3 linked regions of the Macaca fascicularis genome follow. The protein of the gene in region 3 interacts with the protein of the main gene of each other region in a pairwise test. Links are inferred from orthologs where the notes say so. Each region holds a gene or a part of one and is shown on either strand. Other genes may lie near its edges.

Region 1 (3,661 bases), on a different chromosome or scaffold from region 3:
GCTTGTAGTCGAGGTGGGAACCTGAACCCTCCGTCTTCTTGACACCTCTTTGCCCCCTCCTCATCCTGAGGCCTCAAAGACATTTCTAAGAATGCTATGGCTCTGTGGGGTAATTTGAAAACCAACAATCTAGCCTCACCCCTTGGGAAACTGAGACTGAGAATGGAAAGGACTTATTCACAGTCTTACAGTTAGTTAGAGGCAAAAACTGGCACTGGAACTCAGTCACATTTCCTAAAACCTTGTCTGGGGCTCTGCAATTTCTCAGTTGCTGTGATGAGGATGATTGCCTCTTATTCTGTCTAAACTCCCAAGTAAGCTCCCTAGAATGACTTTCATGGCCCCTGTCCCATCTATATCTCTCAGTATGAAGCCTGAGGCCACACTGGGGTCGGAAGATGGGGGAAGCTGGAAACATCTTCCTGGGCCAAACAAGGCTTCTGGAAGGGATCTGTGAGTACATTCCCCTCCCTACCTCAGCCCCTTCTGTCCAGGGGTGTGAGTGAGAGATGAAAGGAGAGAGTAATCAACCAGCTCCTCCTGGTCAGGAAGCCTGGGCAAGGAGGAATCCTGTGCTGTCCAGATCTGAGACGTGCAGAAGCTCTTCAGGAAAGTGGAGTTCACTGCTTTGGAGGTCAGGAAGGTTTGCCCCGGGAAGGCCACCTGTAGGTGTGTACCTAGGGAAGAGTGAACCCCACATCTGTGGGGCAAAGGGCAGTGGCCACAGCTGGGCCCTTTGCTCAAATCACCTTCCCCAGGTATGCTACATCCACAGGCCTGCACTTGCCTCTGCTCCTCCCCATAGAAGTACAGGCACAGGCACATAGAACTCATGCAAACACTCTTACGTATCACATATACAAATACATGCAAACATTCACAAAGGCACAAAAACACCCACGTGCACATAAAATAAACACATATACAGATGCTCCTCAACTTGTGATGAGGTTATTTACCAATAAATCCATTGTAAGTTGAAAATGTGATAGGTCAAAAATGCTTTTAATACACCTAGCCTACCAAGCATCATAGCTTAACCTAGCTTGCCTTAAACTTGTTCAGAACACTTACATTAGCCAAGAGTTTGGCAAAATCTTCTACTACAAAGCCTATTTTGTAATAAAGTGTTGAATTTTATGGAATACTGTACTGAAAGCATAGCACTTTCACACCATCATAAATCAAACCATCCTAAGTCAGGGACTAGCTGTACATGTACACGCCATCCACACACAAACTCCAAACTTCCCCAACAGTGTCCGCCTGCAGGAATAGGTGTGTCTACACACAACTACACATGCAAAACACAGGGCCCAGCTGAGAGAAGGATAAAGGAGGCTGTGGAGGAAGTCAAGAGACCAGCTGGGGATCAGCTAGAACAAGCAGCCACTGTACCACAAATAAAAACTACAAAGACAAAAGAAAGGACATTTCAGTGGACCCCAAACTTTTCTAGTATCTTTCCTCACCCACAACCCATTCCCCAGGGGCCAGACCCACTCAGATTAGAGGAATTATCTCTTCTTCAAATCAAAAAAAAAGAAAGAAGAAAGAAGAAGGAAGAAAGAAGGAAGGGAGAAGGGAGAAGGGGAGGGGGAGGGGGAGGATGAGGAGGAGGAGGAGAAGGAGAAGGAGAAGGAGGAGAAGAAAGAAGCACCCCAGCCAGGCACAGCGCCCAGGAGTGAGTTCTGTGCTATTGGGTCATACTCTCTGACCTGACTTGAATTTATCCTATGACTTTGGTCAGGCCCCCAGTCTTTTCTGAGTCTCCATCTGCTCATCTAGAAAATGTCCGGTCTCCTGAGACATTAGGGGATTGGGGAGCCACCTCTGATCCCCAGGTGGGATTGGGGGGACACGGGGTATGAGGGGAAAGAAATGTTTTCTAAAAGAGCCAAGGACAGCAGAAACGTAAGCCCCAAACCCGAGGAAGCTCCAGTGGAGAAGATGAAGGTCGGAGGGGTGGGGTGAGAGAGGACAGGCCTGGAGGAGCAGGAGGGGCCCCAGCATTTACCTCCTTCTCGGCCTTGGCCTCCTCCACCGTCACGGTGCTATGATTCTTGTGCTCTTGGAACATGCAAAGGTAGCAGATGCAGGTCTGGTCAGTCTGGCAAAAGAGCTCCATGGTCTTGCCATGCACGGGACACTTGCGGGCCTCAAAGTCCCGGATGGGCTCGAGCAGCTGGTGGTCTCGGAAGGCGGCGCCCTCCAGGTGGGGCTTGAGGTGCAGCTCGCAGAAGGAGGCCTGGCACACCAGGCAGGACTTGACCGCCTTCTGCTTGTTGCCGATGCAGGAGTCGCACAGCACCTCCTCGGAGCCGGACTTGGACCGTGAAAAAAGGCCCGTGTCGGCCCGGGGGTAGCTGTTCCGCCGGGTCTCCCCGGGCTCCATGATGGACACCGCGGGCTTCCGGGACTCTGAGAAAATGGACTTGCGCAGCTCGCCCTTTTCGGCAAAGGTAACGGGTGGCTTCTTGGCAGCCCCCAGCTGGAGCCCTGCGTACGGCGACCTCTTGCCTTCCATAGAGTCCATGCTGAAGTAGTTGGAGTTCTTGTCCTCCCCGGACTCGACAAACTGGATGATGGGTCGCCGCCACTCATTGCCCGCGAACAGGGCGCTCCTCCCTTCCCCTGGCTTCAGGGCACTGCCCAGGCTCTTGCCCTCAGCTGCCTCCCCGCCGTGCCCGTTGGTGGTCTTGGCATCCTTGCCGTCAGCCTTGGTGCCATTCTCCAGGCTGCCATTGGGGCCCGACGGGCTCCGGGCATCCCTGGCTTCTGGGCTCGACCCGTTGCTCCTGGAGGCATCTGCAGCTTCCATCTCAGGATGCTTGGCTGATCTGTTTCAGGCTTGCTGGGGTTCAGGATAGGTGGCCTTTCTGGCTGGCGTCTCGGCAGGGAGTGGGGCAGGCAGCCACAGGGCCTAGAGACACACCTGTGAGGAGGAGGAGGGGGAGTAGGCGGAGGAGGAGGAGTGGGAGGAGGGGAGGAGCAACAGGCACAAGCCTGACACAGCGGGCCGGGAGAAGCAGGCAGCCCCGCAGCCAGCAGAGCAGATAATTACACAGGAACCACGCCCTACACATTCATCCCTAACCTGATTTTTAAAAGAAGTATTTTTTTCTCCCCCAGCTTAATTATTTTCTACAACTCAGCAACCAGTTGGGCTGCTTCCCTCTGACGCACTTGCTTCTCATCCAGGGAGCCGGGAGTCTCTGTCTTCACAGGTGGGCAGGCTTCACTGCACCCAGAGGCCCCTGGGGCAGAAGGTGAGGTGTCTGCAGAGGCCTAAGGGACATAGGGCTGTTAACTGGGTCACACAAGTCAAATAGCCTTGTAATTTGCGGGCCTGAGTTTCAGAGGAAAGATTGTCCACCCTGGGACTGTAACGCTGCTTTTCACCTTAAGGGGGAAGGATGGGTTCCGTTTGATTTGGCTGCTGATTATTGAACCCTACTCGCCAACCTCCAGGCACTTTTCTAGGTATTGCGTATATACAAGCTCATTCGAGCTTCCCTAAAACCTGTTCAATTACCCCCTTTTAATAGATGAGAAAACTGGGCCTTTAAGAAGATAACTCACTGGCCTAAGTCAAGTGGCAGAGCTGAGATTTGAACCCTAAGCCTTTTAGAAGCCAAAGCCCCTTCTTCAGCTGAGGGGT
Region 2 (3,746 bases), on a different chromosome or scaffold from region 3:
CGTGTTAGCCAGGATGGTCTCTATCCCCTGACCTCGTGATCCGCCCACCTCGGCCTCCCAAAGTGCTGAGATTACAGGCGTGAGCCACCGCGCCCGGCCAATCTGCTGAATTTTGGGGGTAATCTGCCACACTGCAGTAAATAACTACCAGCGATGACCAAACTTTTACCCTTCCAGACCTTGCAGACCAGGCAGCTAACACTTCCCATCCCACGGTCTCAGGAAACACCACTTTCCACTCCTGTGTCCCCGACAGGAATCATCAGACAAGTCGAACTCTCACCTTCTCAAGCAACACAACCCACCCTCCTGGCCTAGCCCGCTCCTGAAGCCTCACTCAGTCTCACCTCAGCCCCTACGCAATTCCTCTCAGTTGTCAGGCCTCCATCGGCGGGGGTCGAGTGTTGTGTGTGACCCCAGGTCTCCAGCAAGGTATAGTGGGAGGGAAGCATCCGGGAGAAGAGAGGTGGATTGGCCTCTCCCTCTCCCCCATACCGCCACCCTCCCTCACGCCCATATCCTGTCCAAGGCTCTTCCCGCGTCTGCTTCTGAAATCCCTCCACATCCCTCCACCCCATGTGCCCTACTCGTTGCACAGGAGCAGAGAGAACCGCAGAACACACGTCTACGATTATGCCACTCTTCAGATTTACATCTTGCAGCAACTTCCCACTGCGTTAGAACGGAAGTAAACCTCCCAACTCACAGACCTCACCCGAGCCCCCACGTCCCGCGTCGCCGGCCTCTCAACCGACGGTGCCCTGATCCTCTCGGAGCGAGCGCCGCGGGCTGCGCCGGGTCCCAGGCCTGCGCCTCTTCCCCATTTCCCAGGGGTCTTTGCCGACCACCCTCCTGCGCCACAGCTGCTCAAGTTCTGTTTACTTGCTTTTCCCTCCCCACCAAAAGGTGAGCCTTGAGAAGACACACCCTTGTGTAGAGCTTTGAACTTTTATCCGGAAAGGTGCCGGGCACATAGTCGGTGCCCGGGAGCACTTGCGAGACCGCCCTGCAGCCTCTTTCCGGATCCCCCAGGCACCCCCGACCCCGGCCTCGCCCCACCCTGCCCTCGCCCCAGCCCCGCCCTGCCCTCGCCCCAGCCCCCGCCCCAGCCCCGCCCCGACCCTGTCTCAGCTTCGCCTGGGCTTCATCCCGCCCCAGCCTCGCCCAGCCCCTCCTCTCCTCTCCCCGCCCGTCCCCTTCCCGCCCCCGCCCCGCCTCGCCTAGCCCCGCCCCAGCCCCGTCCCAGCTTCGCCTGAGCCAGGTCCCAGCCCCGTCCCACCTTCGCCGCGCCCCAGCTTCATCCCGCCCCAGCCTCGCCCCTTCCCCTCAGGGCCCCCGCGCCCCGCCCCGCCCCGCCCCGCCCGCGACCCTGCGGAACCTAGAGTCGCAGGCGCCCTCTTGGAGGACGGAATTCGACGTCGGACTCCGCCTCGCGTAGTTCCGGTGGCGACTGCGGAGCATGGCGGTGAGCGGTGTGGAGAAGACGCGCGGGTGGCTGGGCGTCGCACTGTCGGTGGCCCTCCGTGACCCTCGTGCTGCCCCCCTTTCTCCAGGCCCTAGGACATCTTGCCGGGGAGGCAGCGGCGGCCCCAGGCCCGGGTACTCCCTGCGCGTCCCGCAGACACCGGCTTCCCGGCCTGGTTTCCAGCGTCCGGAATCCCTCCACTGTCTGTCTCTGCCCAGGGCAACCCACGAGCAGTAACGCCGACCCCAGAGCGCACCCGTTAGGCGATGAAGGCAGTGCAGCGTCGAAAAAACAAAAGAATAAGAAGAAAACCCGGAACAGGGCCTCTGTGGCAAATGGAGGCGAGAAGGCCTCAGAGAAACCCGCCCCAGAAGAAGTGCCCCTAAGCGCTGAGGCCCAGGCAAGGGCGGGCGTCAGTCAGGAAGGGTGGAATCCCCTAGTGCGAATCCACGGGCACATGTGATCTGGGGTCCGCAGAGTTAAGGCGGGGAGGGGGATGGGATGGGGCCAGGCGCTGTTTTGTGTCCCAGTGCCCTCTCACAGCCACTTCCCCAAATCCGTCACAGGCGCAGCAGTTGGCCCAGGAATTGGCTTGGTGTGTGGAACAACTGGAGCTTGGCCTCAAGAGGCAGAAACCCACCCCAAAACAGAGTAAGGGACCTTTCTATAGAGTTGGGGAATGTGAAGAGTGGCACCGCCTGGCCTGCAGGTGCTGGCAGAGGTGAAGTTGTTTCCTTTGCGGTGGGGCGGTAGGAGGTCAGTAGTAGAGGTTTTCACTAGTCCTTTGTTTTTATTCGCAGAAGAGCAGGCTATTGGAGCAATCCGAACCCTGCGCAGCAAAAGAACGCCCCTGCCCCGGAAGAGGCAGTTGATGCACTCCTTGTTTGGAGACTATAGGGCTCAGATGGAAGCCGAATGGCGTGAGGCCCTGCGGGCTCTCAGATCTGGTGAGGAGCTAGTAACTGGTTGATTTAGGAAGGCCTAATTTAAGGAGGAAGTGCCTAGGGGGTGAAAGGAAGAAGGCCCAGAGCAACAAGGCTGGTGGGGGAAGGAGATGAGCTCAGGGAAGCCTGAGGGAACAGGGAAAGAGCAAGGATGGACCTGTCTCTCCTTTTCCCAGGACTGAACCTGGGAAGCAGCGGGGAGGTCATGGGAGGAGCGGGAAAGAGTGTGACCCTGTGTTGGTCCTGCTCCTGGCTTGGGGAAAGCTGCGTTATGTTTTTGTGTCTTGGCTCTCTCTACTGGCAACGAAGCCATATCCCATAACAGTTTGAGTGCAATTCCTGGAGCCAGATGAGCTAGGTTCAAATCCTGGATCTACCACATAGTAGTACTAACACCTTTTGCAAACTACTGAACCTCTCTAAATGGGCGGTGATAGTAATATCAACCTTACAAATTTGAGGAATTAGTTAATTTATTCAAAGTGGTTAGAATTGTATGGGCAAACATAACTGTACAGGTAATGTTAGCTGTTGTTATTCAGTTCTCACATACGCTGCTTCTCTCCCCTGACAGCTGCTTATTTAGCCCAGGTGCAGCCTGTAGATGGAGCCACCAGAAAGAAGAGCCGAAGGGTCTGCAGGCCTCGCCCTATAGGGCGAAGCAAAGCCACTCTGGACACTCCTGATGAAGAGTTTCGGTTCAATTTCTTTTAGCTTCTCCCCCGACCTGGAACATTCCCCCTCCCTTGGGGTGGTGTAGGGGTTTGTTTTGAGTGCAGAGCCTTTTCAGGACTTCTGTTGGCAGAGAACCCTGGGGTTGGTCTGTCCCTGGCTGGTCCAAGTATTTAGAGCTGTTGTGAAGGTGTGAGACCATCAGATAGGCAAAAGACCCCATTTGTTTTGTGATGAAATGTTCTCTCTTTCAGAACAGAGAGAGGTGCATTTAGAAAATATACAATAAATTGAAGTGACTGTTTGAAGTATTGTAGAAAGAATATTGTACTCAGTCTTTAGGATTAGATTAAGTGGCTGTTGGTAACAAAGATTAGTGGAGAAGCTATATAATTATACACTGTTTTTCACTTTTGAAAGGAATTCCTGTCAAATGGTTTAGTGCTTAATGCTGTTATGTCACATTGCCCTAGTCTTTATTTTTGATAAAATTGGATAACGAGTGAAAGAGTGTGCTGACCACCTGTGTTAGAGGAAGTACAGAAGACGGCAGGGGTCTGGTTCCCTGGGTCCAGTCCCTTGCCTCGATCCTTTGTCCATGTTGCCTTCATTCCTGAGCAGGTGTCATCCTCAGGGAACCAGCATGGCAGCCACCAGGCATGGCT
Region 3 (3,746 bases):
TGCCTGGCACACAGCAGGATGGAGACAGTGATTAGAGTTGGTGATCAGCTTTCTGTGTTATCTTAAGTAGGTACTTAACCTCTCTGAGCTTCAGCTTCTTTGCTAAGTTGTAAAATATCTACCTGATAGGATTATCAGGAAGTCCAAAGGAAATATATGTAATGAACCTAGTATAGTACTCAACAAATTACATACTTTTCCGTGGTCTCCCAACATCTGGAGTCATCCGTTACATTAGACATACCTCAGTCATAGCATACTACTCTTGCACTTTACACCTGGTCATTCAGGTTGATCTCAATGAAATGATCACCCAACGAGTCTCATGTCTGAAACTGGATCTTCATCTAGGTTTCAAAAAGATAAAAAGAAGAAAATCTTGAAATGTTCAGCTTCCTAGTAAGAATGGTCTTCTGTTACTCCCAGAGCAGGCATCCATGGTACTGGTAATCACAGATAAACCAGGCACAACTGAAATAACTGCTAATGCCCTTCCCAGCTCACTACCATACACCTCTTCCCTTCTCTTCTCTCCCCTTATCTTTCCTCTCCCTACCTTGCTAAGACATTTAGCTGGGTATCCAAATCTATCATCATCTATCATCAATTCTGACTTCCGGCTCCACAGGTAGGATATTCTCATTTGCAAGGATACTAAAATGAAGCATCCTCAGACAAACTACAACTGATCACAAAAGCAAACACAGGAACAAAACTACTCCTCATTTGCACCTGTGACCAAACCCTCCTTTTCAGAGGTCCATTCTATGAAATTAACAGGCCAATAGTTTGCAGCAGCCTTTTCCCCACTACAGGCTGTCCCTACTTCCAGGACAAAGGTCTGGAACTTTTAAAGTCACAGGAAGAGACCAAATGCCTTCTAGGGCCAAAACAGAAGCTACAGCTTTAATTAGTGTCATAATACACTTAAAATAAGATGGTGGGGGTAGGAGTCAGAGGGTAGGAGTTGTCTTGTACATGGCATAGTAAGCCAGGCATAGAAAAGCAAAAACATAATTGTATCTTCTGACACTTTCTAGGTTTCCCGAGTGTTTCAGCCAAATTGCCCTTTATAGGTCTGAAGTCCCTTGTAACATGCTCCATACCTTAAAATTTAATTATCTTTTCACCATTTGGGGTCGGGGAGGGGAGCTGACAATAAACCATGGCCAGTAACTGTTCCTTCTCAACTGAATCACAACAAAATCTGTAAGCGTCTTCAAAAGCATATACTTCAAATTACTGCAATAAATGAACATGTAACCCTTTCGAAGTCTCTATTCCTTATTAAATGCAAAAGCTCTATTCTGAAAATATGGCAACTTGCTGTTTAATGTTCCTAAGAAAGAGTTGAACCTACCCCAAATAGGAAAGAGTTAAAATGGAATGTCATCTCAACCAAATCATTCTGTCTCGCGAGAGGTGACATGAAGCGGCAGAACCTTGCTTTGAAGCAAAAGCTGTAGGGAAAACTCCAAGTCAGCCACCTCTTCCCCAAAAGGCAGGGTTAGGGGAGGCCAGAGTCTACTTGGCAATATTTAAAGTACAAAACTCATTGCAGAGGCTTGAAACCAATATGGATAATGCCTGCACAGTGTTTAATATAATATTCATACATATATATATATATATATATATATATTTTTTTTTTTTTTTTTTGATACGGAACCTCGCTCTCCAGGCTGGAGTGCAGTGGCACGATCTCAGCTCCCAGCAACCTCCGCCTCCCGAGTTCAAGCGATTCTCCTGCCTCAGCCTCCCGAGTTGCTGGATTACAGGCGCGCACCACCACGCCCGGCTAATTTTTGTATTTTTAGTAGAGACATGGTGGTTTCACCATGTTGGCCAGGGTGGTCTCGAACTCCTGACCTCAGGTGATCCGCTCACCTCGGCCTCCCAAAGTGCTGAGATTACAGGCGTGAGCCACTGCGCCCGGCCTGTTTAATATTAACAGTGATTGAAACACTGATTGAAAAACAGTGGCAGTAAAAAAGGAAACTCAGGTCTCTCTGTTACAGGTGTCTTAGCCTTCCGACATTTTTCACCTTGAAAAACTCCTATTAGGCCCTGTATAAAGTCAGAGGTCTCCTGAATCCGGAATGAGGTTAATAAACCAGAGAAAGAGATACTCACCTGTGCTATTCGCCTAACCGCCCCCTTCTGCTCCGAGTCCTCACTCCCCAAACCACCTTCGCGGTTGTTTGCCACAAAACGGGCGCTTCAGTCCGGGTCGATTTTGGGGGATGGAGTAATTACCTACAGCTTAAATCGAACCTGTGCCCGCTGTGATTCTAAGCTTTACTCTTACTGCCTCATTTAACCCACACAACCACTTTGTAAGGCGAGAATTACCAGCTTTAGTATACAAATAAAGAATCCGAGGCGCTGAGACATTAAAGGAGAAGCCAAAGAACACAAAGCCTGGGGAGCTGGGGCTAGCACGCAGGTTTGTCCCATCCCCAAACCCTTACGCAGGGATTTGTAATTGGCGCGACCCTATCCCAGGCGGCTCCTCCCTGACAAGGGTCAGTCTGACCACTGTTAGGCCCAGGTGAGGTCAAGTCCGGGGTGCTCCGAGAAGGGGCTCACGACTACACCTCTGAGAGCCCCGAGCGCCACTCACCTTCCTCAGTCGCCGCCTCCCACCAGCAGCCAGCCCGGCCCCGGCTAGGCTGGGATTACTACATCAGGCCCCGCCTCCGCGACCGTTACCTCCGCCGGGGAAGGGCGGCCAATCGAGCCCGAGCGCGTCGAGGGCCAGCCCCTCTTTAGCCTGCGAACGCCCCCAAACGATTCTCTCCAGCCTCACCCGGAAGCTGGGTCCGCCCCGCACCCTCCGGTTGGCTCAGCTACTGGGGGCGGGGCTTATCGCAAACGCAGGCGTCGGCTAGTCGTGGGCAAGCTGGCGTTTCCATCGCTCTCCTTAGGTACCCTGTCACTTACATGGAGCCTTATTTGCCTGGAAGATGTCAGACATACTTGTGGCCGTAGGTGAAAGTGAAGCCTGGGTTACCTGGCCTCCAGAGACTGCCCTCTCTCTCGCCCCCTACCCCGCCGCTACTACGAGCTCTTGCTGGGGTACGGGTCAGCATGTTCTCGATGTTCCAGACCTGGCTGACCACTGTAGCAGCTGACATTTGGAGGACCCCAATAAATGTTTGTTGATGACATTTCTTCCGATTCAGCATTTTCCACATCTCGACGAAGCTTCAGGCCCTACCTCAGGCTGTAAATGTCCACCATTTTGATTGTATCTTATAGCCACATGGTGTCGCTGTTGACAACCTGTCTTTTCAAATCAGTCAAATGATGTAGGTGTGCGTAGATGCAGATCCCACAGGAGCCAGCAGGGATGTCCCATCGAGGGCATCAGCCAACGGTCTCTCATCAGGAGGTCCAAGGGCTCTTGGAGCTCAATAGTTTCAGACCCTTCTTAGCATTCTTCCAGGCAGCTGGAACTACACTTAAGTTTAATCTCTGTGTTTGCCCCATACAAACATGTCCCTACCACAACCTACGCCCACCCACTGTGCTTTCTATACCTGGATATTCACTCTCACGATGGTTAGCAGATTTGCATTTTCAGTTCTCAAATCGCAAATAGTCTCAGTGCTTCCCTTTTCCAAGACAATAGGGTACCCTTGCATACTCTTCTGAGCATGGCTGCCCTAACTGTAGAGGCCAAACATCTTTGGGTCAGTTATGATTATTTTGGATGCATGTGATATGAAATCTGAGTTAAATTG

The links.
Region 1: the proteins of CEP70 (region 3) and TRIM29 interact in binary tests that used the Homo sapiens proteins (3 or more experiments, as listed by UniProt). The two-hybrid records come from large-scale screens. The link is inferred for Macaca fascicularis from reciprocal best matches to the Homo sapiens genes CEP70 and TRIM29.
Region 2: the proteins of CEP70 (region 3) and UPF0488 protein C8orf33 interact in binary tests that used the Homo sapiens proteins (3 or more experiments, as listed by UniProt). The link is inferred for Macaca fascicularis from reciprocal best matches to the Homo sapiens genes CEP70 and C8orf33.

Annotation. Positions count from the first base shown.
Region 1 is NC_088388.1:118,999,588-119,003,248, forward strand, and holds the start of TRIM29 (tripartite motif-containing protein 29), read right to left. Parts: upstream 2,904-3,661; 5' UTR 2,822-2,903; coding exon 2,018-2,821; intron 1-2,017.
Region 2 is NC_088382.1:154,739,009-154,742,754, forward strand, and holds UPF0488 protein C8orf33, read left to right. Parts: upstream 1-1,436; 5' UTR 1,437-1,459; coding exon 1,460-1,465; intron 1,466-1,553; coding exon 1,554-1,865; intron 1,866-2,031; coding exon 2,032-2,116; exon of another isoform or gene 2,117-2,186; intron 2,187-2,265; coding exon 2,266-2,412; intron 2,413-2,983; coding exon 2,984-3,123; 3' UTR 3,124-3,589; downstream 3,590-3,746.
Region 3 is NC_088376.1:41,434,066-41,437,811, forward strand, and holds the start of CEP70 (centrosomal protein of 70 kDa), read right to left. Parts: upstream 2,711-3,746; 5' UTR 2,134-2,710; intron 348-2,133; 5' UTR 254-347; coding exon of another isoform or gene 245-253; intron 1-244.